Linked DNA regions of Danio rerio. The protein of the gene in region 1 interacts with the protein of each later gene in a pairwise test. Links are inferred from orthologs where the notes say so. Each region holds a gene or a part of one and is shown in the gene's direction. Other genes may lie near its edges.

The links.
Region 2: the proteins of enkd1 (region 1) and si:dkey-174m14.3 interact in binary tests that used the Homo sapiens proteins (3 or more experiments, as listed by UniProt). The two-hybrid records come from large-scale screens. The link is inferred for Danio rerio from reciprocal best matches to the Homo sapiens genes ENKD1 and BEGAIN.

Annotation. Positions count from the first base shown.
Region 1 is NC_133183.1:3,674,735-3,678,558, forward strand, and holds part of enkd1 (enkurin domain-containing protein 1), read left to right. Parts: intron 1-1,502; coding exon 1,503-1,634; intron 1,635-1,794; coding exon 1,795-1,937; intron 1,938-3,824. UniProt on the Homo sapiens protein: Microtubule-binding protein which regulates microtubule organization and stability. Promotes the stability of astral microtubules and facilitates the proper orientation of the mitotic spindle.
Region 2 is NC_133195.1:9,518,622-9,523,078, forward strand, and holds the start of si:dkey-174m14.3 (uncharacterized protein LOC563117), read left to right. Parts: upstream 1-1,512; 5' UTR 1,513-1,570; coding exon of another isoform or gene 1,571-1,585; coding exon 1,586-1,599; intron 1,600-4,457. UniProt on the Homo sapiens protein: May sustain the structure of the postsynaptic density (PSD).

The DNA of each region.
Region 1 (3,824 bases):
TTATTGACTATGGTGATGTTTTATATATGCATGCTTCAAACAAATGTCTTCAGCCTTTAAACTCCATAGTGCGCTAAGGTTTGTTACAGGCTGTCAAAGACTTACTCATCATCGTGAATTGTACGCTAAAGCTGAGTGGCCTTCTCTGTGTGTAAGAAGGTACACCCACTGGATGACTCTGGTCTACAAGGCTCTTCTGGGACTGGTGCCTTCATACCTATGTTCCCTTCTCCATAAGTCTAAAAGAAAGCATGCCCTACGCTCAAGTGAATCTTATAATTTGATTGTTCCCCGGGTTCGAACTGAAATAGGAAAGCGAGCCTTTAGTCATGCCGCCCACTCATCCTAAAATACTCTTCAGTCTGAAGTAAAGATATCTGAGCTCATCCCAATGACATCGTTTCACTCTATTCTTTTTAACAAACAACAACAGTCCATTTCTCAATGCATGTGTTTTTAATATACTGAAATGTGGTAAAGCTGGAAAACTGAACTGTATTTTTATATTATATTAATTTTCTATTTATTATTAATATTATTAAATTTTTTTCTTTTTTTTATATAAATCATGTGATGCAGACCTCTTGGCCAGGTCACCCTTGTAAATGAGATCTTGATCTCAATGGGTTTTTATCTGGTTAAATAAAGAAACATGTATAGGGACTTTATAATGAATTAGAAGTTTAAAGGAGACCTATTATGTAAAACTTACTTTCATAAGAGGTTTAAACACAGTTGTGTGTCAGCAGTGTATGAATATAAGCAGCTTCTAATGGTAAAAATTTATTCATTTTATTGTTTATAATCCCTCTCGATAAAAACAGAAACACTTTGATTGACATTTTCTCTTTGTACATGTCATCAGAGTGGGAAAGCCCCGCCCACTAGTGACCATCTCTTCCTCATTAGCATAGGATATAAGTCTTAAATCTGCCACTATAATGACACACAAGCATTTGCATTTGCACAAGCATTATGTGTGTGTGAGTGTTTTTGTGCATGTGTATGTGTTTAAATGTGTGTGTGTGTGAATGTGTTTTTATATGTGTTTGTTTTTGTATGTGTGTGTGGTGAGGGCACATCTGTGATAATGTTCTTTTGTTTAAGTGTGTGTGTTTGAGTGTGTGTATGTGTGTGTGTGCAAATGTATGATTGACTGTGTTTTTACATGTGATCATGTTTGTTTTTGTGTGTGTGTGTGTGTGTGTGTGTGTGTGTGTGTGTGAGCGCTTTGGGTTTTAGATAAGCGCGTTATAAATAAAATGTATTATTATTATTATTATTATAGTAATACCAGTACAAATTGACTTTGTGGGGACATTTTTGGTCCCTATATGAATAAAACGGCTCATAGATGCAGATTGTTTCCAATGAGGGCTGGTTTAAGGGCAGGAGGAGAGAATATACAGTCTGTACAGTAGAAACATCCTTATGTCTATGAAAATAAGATAGCTGTAAGAGTGTGTGTGTGTGTGTGTGTGTGTGTGTGTTTGTGTGTGCAGGAAACAAGCCCCTTAAAGAAGCCTGAATATCAGAACTTCCTGAAGGCTCATTCAGTGTGTGGAGCCGGGGGTCGACCGGTGCTGCGGCGCTCAGACAGTGGACCGACCGCTGCTGGAGACTCAGACTCTGAGGTCAGAAACACACACACACACACACACACACACACACACACACACACACACACACACACACACTAACTCAGCACACACTTACACTCACAAACACTTCATTCACACTCCTGCAGACAGTGTTGCGTAACAGAGGTCTGTGTGTGTGTTGATGTGTGTCCAGATGCATGTGAGAGGACACACAGTGGACTTTGTGAGTCATAACGCTCGAGCTGCGGCGAAGACCAGCATGAGGAGATCTCAGTCCTTACAGAACCTGCAGGACAAAACACCAGCCTGCGCCGTCAAGGGCAAAGTGCCGCCATAGTGAGTGAAGTTACACAATATTGGAATAACTGACATTACTATACTTTGTTTTTCTCAGATACATGGTTGAAGTCAGTATTATTCGCCCCCCTGTATATTTCATTCACCAATTTCTGTTTTACTGAGAAGATGTTTTCAGCACATTTCTAATTATAATAGTTTTAACTCATTTCTTATAACTGATTTCTTTTGTCTTTGCCATGATGACAGCACATAATACTTGACTTGATATTCTTCAAGATGCTAGTATTCAGCTTAAAGTGACATTTAAAGGCTTAACTAGGTTAATTAGGGTAAAGTTGGGTTAATTAGGCAAGTCAATAGCTGTTTCCATCCAAAAATGCGAATGAACTTTATGTGCAAAACTGGATTATCACATTAAAGTCATGCGAATAAAGCAGCATTACCTTCTAACGAGTCAAAGCAAACAAAACACTTCCTGATTAACTGGCGCCAAGTATCAACAGTAAAAACGGAATTTGCTGCGATAGGAGAAGCTGCATCAATCTGTTCTTTCAAGAGTTCACACTTAGCTGATGATTGATTATAAGCAAGTTTGGCATGCTGTCCCGGGAGAGAGCCCTGAGCTCAAAAGGTCCTTGAGCCCTGGGCTCCCTCCCGTTTGCAGGGCGAGAGGGGAGCCTTGAGCTCAGGTAGATCTCGACAACTCCTTCCTTGATAAGAGCTGATGACTGAAATGAATGCTATGAAGAGAATTGCTGCAGGATGAGAGATTGACTTTAGTGCTAAATTTAGGGTGCTTTCACACCTGCCTTATTTAGTTTGATTGAATCGCACTAGAGTTCGTTTTCCCTTTTGGTGCGGTTCGTTTGGGCAGGTGAGAATGCAGCAATCGTACTCGAGTGCGCACCAAAAGCGGACCAAATAAGCGTACTGAGACCTGCTTGAAGAGGTGTTCTTGGTATGCTTTCAAATGAACCCTGGAGCGGTTCATTTGTGGTGAGAATTTGATTCGTACTAAAACAGGTCCAACCGCAAAAAGTACTGCGCCTTTCGGACTAAGTCAGCTGCCGTAGGCCGATGCGCTGTGCATTATGGGATATAGAGGAAAAATATTTGTTGACAGCGCTTTACCAAGAAAGAGAGAGAGAGGGAAAACATTACCTGATGGATCGTTGGTAATATTTCCGCAAGATGAGCATGTCGCAGTTTAGCTAAATTAATTCACGCCTCCTCCTGAAGTGACGTGCGATGCATTAAAACACTGTTTTCCAGCCGCGGCCGCGCTTCATTCTTAAAATGTATAGTTTGTCTAAAGCAGGGATACAATCAGTCAGCGCAGTCGTCCCTCCATTAAAAAGCTACATTTTGTGTCTGCTGGTTTTGTTTACTTGTGGGAGTTCATTGGCTTTTTCCCGCACATGAATTCTGACCAATCGATACGCAGTTTAGGAAATATGTTCAACAACATCTGGCCAATGAGAAAGTGGATTTTATCAGATGACTGCATTTTGGTTTGTTCCAACTGGTTCGGACCAAAGCCAGCAGCGTGGTGTGAAAACACACAGAAAACGACGGCAGAAAATGCAACAATGTATCATTTATTGCCCTTGGTGCAGACCAAATGAAGCGAACTACAGATGTGCAAGCACCCTTAGATTGATCAATTCACTTGTTGTGCATGTTTTTAGAATGTGGGAGGAAACCGGAGAACCCGGGGAAAATCCACACGAGCACAGGAAGAGCATGCAAACTACGCACATAAACGACCGCTGCCCTTTTAAAAGACTACAACCGGTGACATTCTTGCTGTGAGGCAACAGTGCTAACCACTGGGCCACCGTGCCACCCTATAAAGGGAAAGGTGAAGAGGTAGGGGTGAAAGGGGGGTTCGTCAAACCGAAGGTGGCTGTAGTGAAAAACCCT
Region 2 (4,457 bases), on another chromosome or scaffold:
TGTAAAACTCTTAGTGTGTAACTATTAAACGGATTTGATCATAATAATTTAGGAAAAGTCTGTAAAATAACAGTGTTTCTTTGTAAAACTCTTAGTGTGTAACTATTGAACGGATTTGATCATAATAATCTAGGAAAAGTCTGTAAAATAACAGTGTTTCTTTGTAAAACTCTTAGTGTGTAACTTTATTTAACGGATTTGATCATAATAATCTAGGAAAAGTCTGTAAAATAACAGTGTTTCTTTATAAAACTCTTAGTGTGTAACTTTATTGAACGGATTTGATCATAATAATCTAGGAAAAGTCTGTAAAATAACAGTGTTTCTTTGCAAAACTCTTAGTGTGTAACTTTATTGAACGGATTTGATTGCAATAATTAAGGAAAAGTCTGTAAAATAACAGTGTTTCTTTGCAAAACTCTTAGTGTGTAACTTTATTGAACGGATTTGATTGTAATAATTAAGGAAAAGTCTGTAAAATAACAGTCTTTTTCTGTAAACATTTTATTGAAAATATCTGTAGATTTATTATTTGTTGCACTTTATTTCAACAAAGAAATTTTACCGTAATTTTATGGGTTTTTTTTTGGCAGCCTAAGCTGCCAGTCATTCAACCTTTTTTTTAAAGATTTTTTATTTTTTTTTACAATGCACAACAGCCTCTGGTGGATTTGTGAAACAAAAACTACTGTATAAAAACTTACCTTCTGGGACATATTTGCCGCTCTCCAGAAATGTATATAGCTGTACGTTTTCAGAATGAGCCTGGGTTGGAAGCATTTGTACTTATTTTTAACAGTGAAATGACATTTAAAGTTTCCAAACTGACCATAATGTACAAACATAACACATTGGCTTCATGATTTTTACACATTGGCCCATGCCATATCGAATAAGCTTGAGCGTATTATACTACGCTAAATCACCTGCATCCTGTCTGGTGTTGAATTAATAGGACTGCTGGAACGGCCCCTGGTCACTGCTGCACACTAAATCTGAATGAGAATGTGAATTCCTCTGACATAATCTGACTCTTGCATTATTCATGGAGTGGCAGAAAGACAGACCGAGTAGGAAAGAAAGCTGTGGCACGCAGTGGATCTGCGAAACCCGAGTGCCTCCCCATCCCTTTCATCAACAGATGAGCCCACCTGTTTCCCTCCTCAACCTCTCTCTCGCTCTCACACCATCTCCCTCTCTCTCTTTCTCACCCTCGGTCGTTCTCTCCACTCTGTTGTCTGTTTTCACATCCTGTGGATCTTTTCGATGAGTGAGTTTCTTTCGTGGAGGAGAGAAAGAAGAAGAGGGGGCGGCGTGTATGATGTTGTGTATCTGCATTCTGGCTGCGACTGTGCTTTCCATTCGCACTTAATCTGTCAAGATTTCTCCCCTCCTCGCACATGAGAACGATGCAGAAGTGTACTGGCACTGTTGGGTAGAGAGAGAGAGAGAGAGGGAGAGGGAGAGAGAGAGAGAGCTGTATGTGCTTCAGACTGCGCAGTGATGTCTTGGCAGCTTCAGGAACCAGGCGCATGTTCGTTTCAGTAATCTCCTCTTCTTCCTTTTCCAGGCTTCGGACGAGGAGATGCAGACCATAAGGTAAGGAGCTTTCTTCGTTTTCTGTCCCTCCACCCCTGTCTCTTTTTGCCTTCAATTCGTGATGCTCTTTAAAGCGGGACTGCAGCAGGAAAAACCCTCGTGATGATGTAGGAAGCAGGAGTTGCCCGCGTTCTCCAACACAATTAGGGGGGTTTATATGATCTCCTGCATCTCCAAGAAGGGTCAGTTGTTTTGATTGCGAAAGTGTAATAGTTAAAATGTGTGTTCTAGATTATATGCAAACTGATACATATTGAGTGTTTTCCCATTGAAGACCTGTAGATAAGCCTGATAATCCCCAAAGTGAATGCCACCTTTCTATTGGCTGAGCATGTGTTGTCATCAGATCGTTTTTTTTTTTTTTTTTCCGCCTTATGGCAAAATCCGAGATGGGGCTTTGGAAATTATTTATGAATGTGCTAAGTGTTCACTGCCGCTGCTGTAGATTATATTATAGAACCCATGTGGGGGGGGAAAAAAGGTATGACTCAAGCTCTGTGCGGGAGGCTGGACGGATTTATTGGGGGTTTCCCCTCCTTCACATGCATTATTAATAGATTACAGGGCAAAACAGAAAGGTTTCAAGTCATGTTGATGGATTTCAGGCTGCCTTGGCTTCATGTTGCTGAGAGAAATTACGGATAAATGTGTTTTCAAGGACTCTGTGATAAAAAGGACTTTTATAGTGGATTTTTGTGACTGACTGAAACAGTGGAACATTTATTATTACCTATAACATTTTCTGTTCAAACATGCGTGTCTAGTCTATTTATGATTAAAAACAAATAGACATAATATCTGTTATTGACTTAATCATACATGTGTAATAGGGATGTCCCAAGCGGGTTTTTTTGCCCTTGAGTCATTTGATTTAGAGTATCTACCGATTCTGAAACCCGATCCGATACCTTAATAATACATAAAGAGAGAATAAAGAAGAGCAAGGAAACAAATGCAGGATGTTCCTTATGTTTTAATTTAATTTACCATTTTTTAACATGCAACAACTCTGTTTGTTTGTCGAGTTAAATGTAGTCTTTTTCTTTCCACCTCTTGCAATCTCAAGTTTACATATTTCAGTTTTCTATGGCAATGTTGTCGTCATCAACTTTTTAATACTTCCAGACTGCAGAGGTCTAACTCTACTGCATTATTTTACTGGGGATTTTTTCCGCTGTAAAATTCGTAAAATAACAGGCGTTAAAGACAGATATTTACTGTAAAATAACACATTAAATGATAATTTCTGTAATTTTTTTAATGTCTGTTATTTTACAGTAAATTTCTGTAATTTAATGTCTGTTATTTTGTGGTAAATTTCTGTAATTTAATGTGTGTTATTTTATGGTAAATTTCTGTAGTTTAGTGTCTGTTATTTTACAGTAAGTTTCTGTAATTTAATGTTTGTTATTTTATGGTTACTATCTGTAATTTAATGTCTGTTATTTTACGATAAACTTCTGTAATTTAATGTAATTTAATGTCTGTTATTTTACGATAAACTTCTGTAATTTAATGTCTGTTATTTTACAGTAAATTTCAGTAATGTAACGTTCGTTATTTTACGGTAAATTTATGTAATTTTTAAATGTCTTTTATTTTACAGTAAATTTCTGTGATTTTACATCCATTACTTTATGGCAAATTTATGTAATTTAATGTCTATTATTTACGATAAATTTATGTAAATTAATATCTGTTATTTTACTGTAAGTTTCTGTATTTTAACGTTTGTTATTTTATGGTAAATTTCTGTAATTTAACATCCGTTATTTTATGATTAATTTCTGTAATTTCACGGGTGTTATATTACGGTAAATTTCTGTAATTAACGTTTGTTATTTTATGGTAAATTTCTGTAATTTTGCAACCATTATTTTACAGTAAATTTTTGTAATAGCACAACCGTTATTTTACTTTTTTCCAGCATTCCAGCTTTTGGAAAAAAAAACTTAATCGGGAGGTAACGTCCACTTCAAATCAAGTCTGAAACTGCATGTTCCTATCACGTGATCGCATCTGGATATCCCTAATGTGGAACTATATTAAATGCAGTATGTAGTGTGAAATCTACTAGATGTTTTGAATTTAATAATGCTCCAAAAATAAATCTGTCATTTTAATTGATTATATGTGAAGGGATTGGTGGATACTTTTTTAATAATAGTGCCATAGCTGCTGCATTCCCAGCAAGCATTTTTTTGTTTTTAAAAGATGTTTAATTAATGTCTAATAGACGTCTAAACACAGTAGTTTTGGCTAAAACAAGGCTAAATTTGGGATGTCAGGCAAAATTAAATAGATGTCTAGGAATAGGCCAAAACTAGACTAGTCATCAAATAAACAGAAATTAATGACTACACATATAAAGTCTGTCTAATCTGTCTATTTGACGACTTGCAGATGTCTGTTAGATTTTCACCGACGGCCCAAGTTTAGCCTTGTTTTAGCCAAGCTGTCTATGTTTAGAAGTCTATAAGACATATTTTAAACACAAAATTATTTGCTGGGTTGTGTGGTATAAGCATATGCAAACTACAGTCTGAATCGTTAGGTCAGCAGTGATGCTGCAAAGGTGATGCGTGAGGTGCTGATGAACAAAATATGCAAACATAAGGTGAAACACCAATTATGCTTCCAATTTATTGCAAACTGCCAGCGTGGCCTTGACCTCTCGGTGCAGCAAATCTGATGTAACATGCTGAAATCACGTCTTCTTGGTGCTTTTCTCTTCTTCCGCACAGAAAAATGCACTTCGGGTGCATTCATGTTAATTTTATGGATTATATTTCAAAGGACAGGAAGCAGCTTTTGTGCAAGTAAACGCATTATTTTATTTGTTTAAAAATAAATTCAGA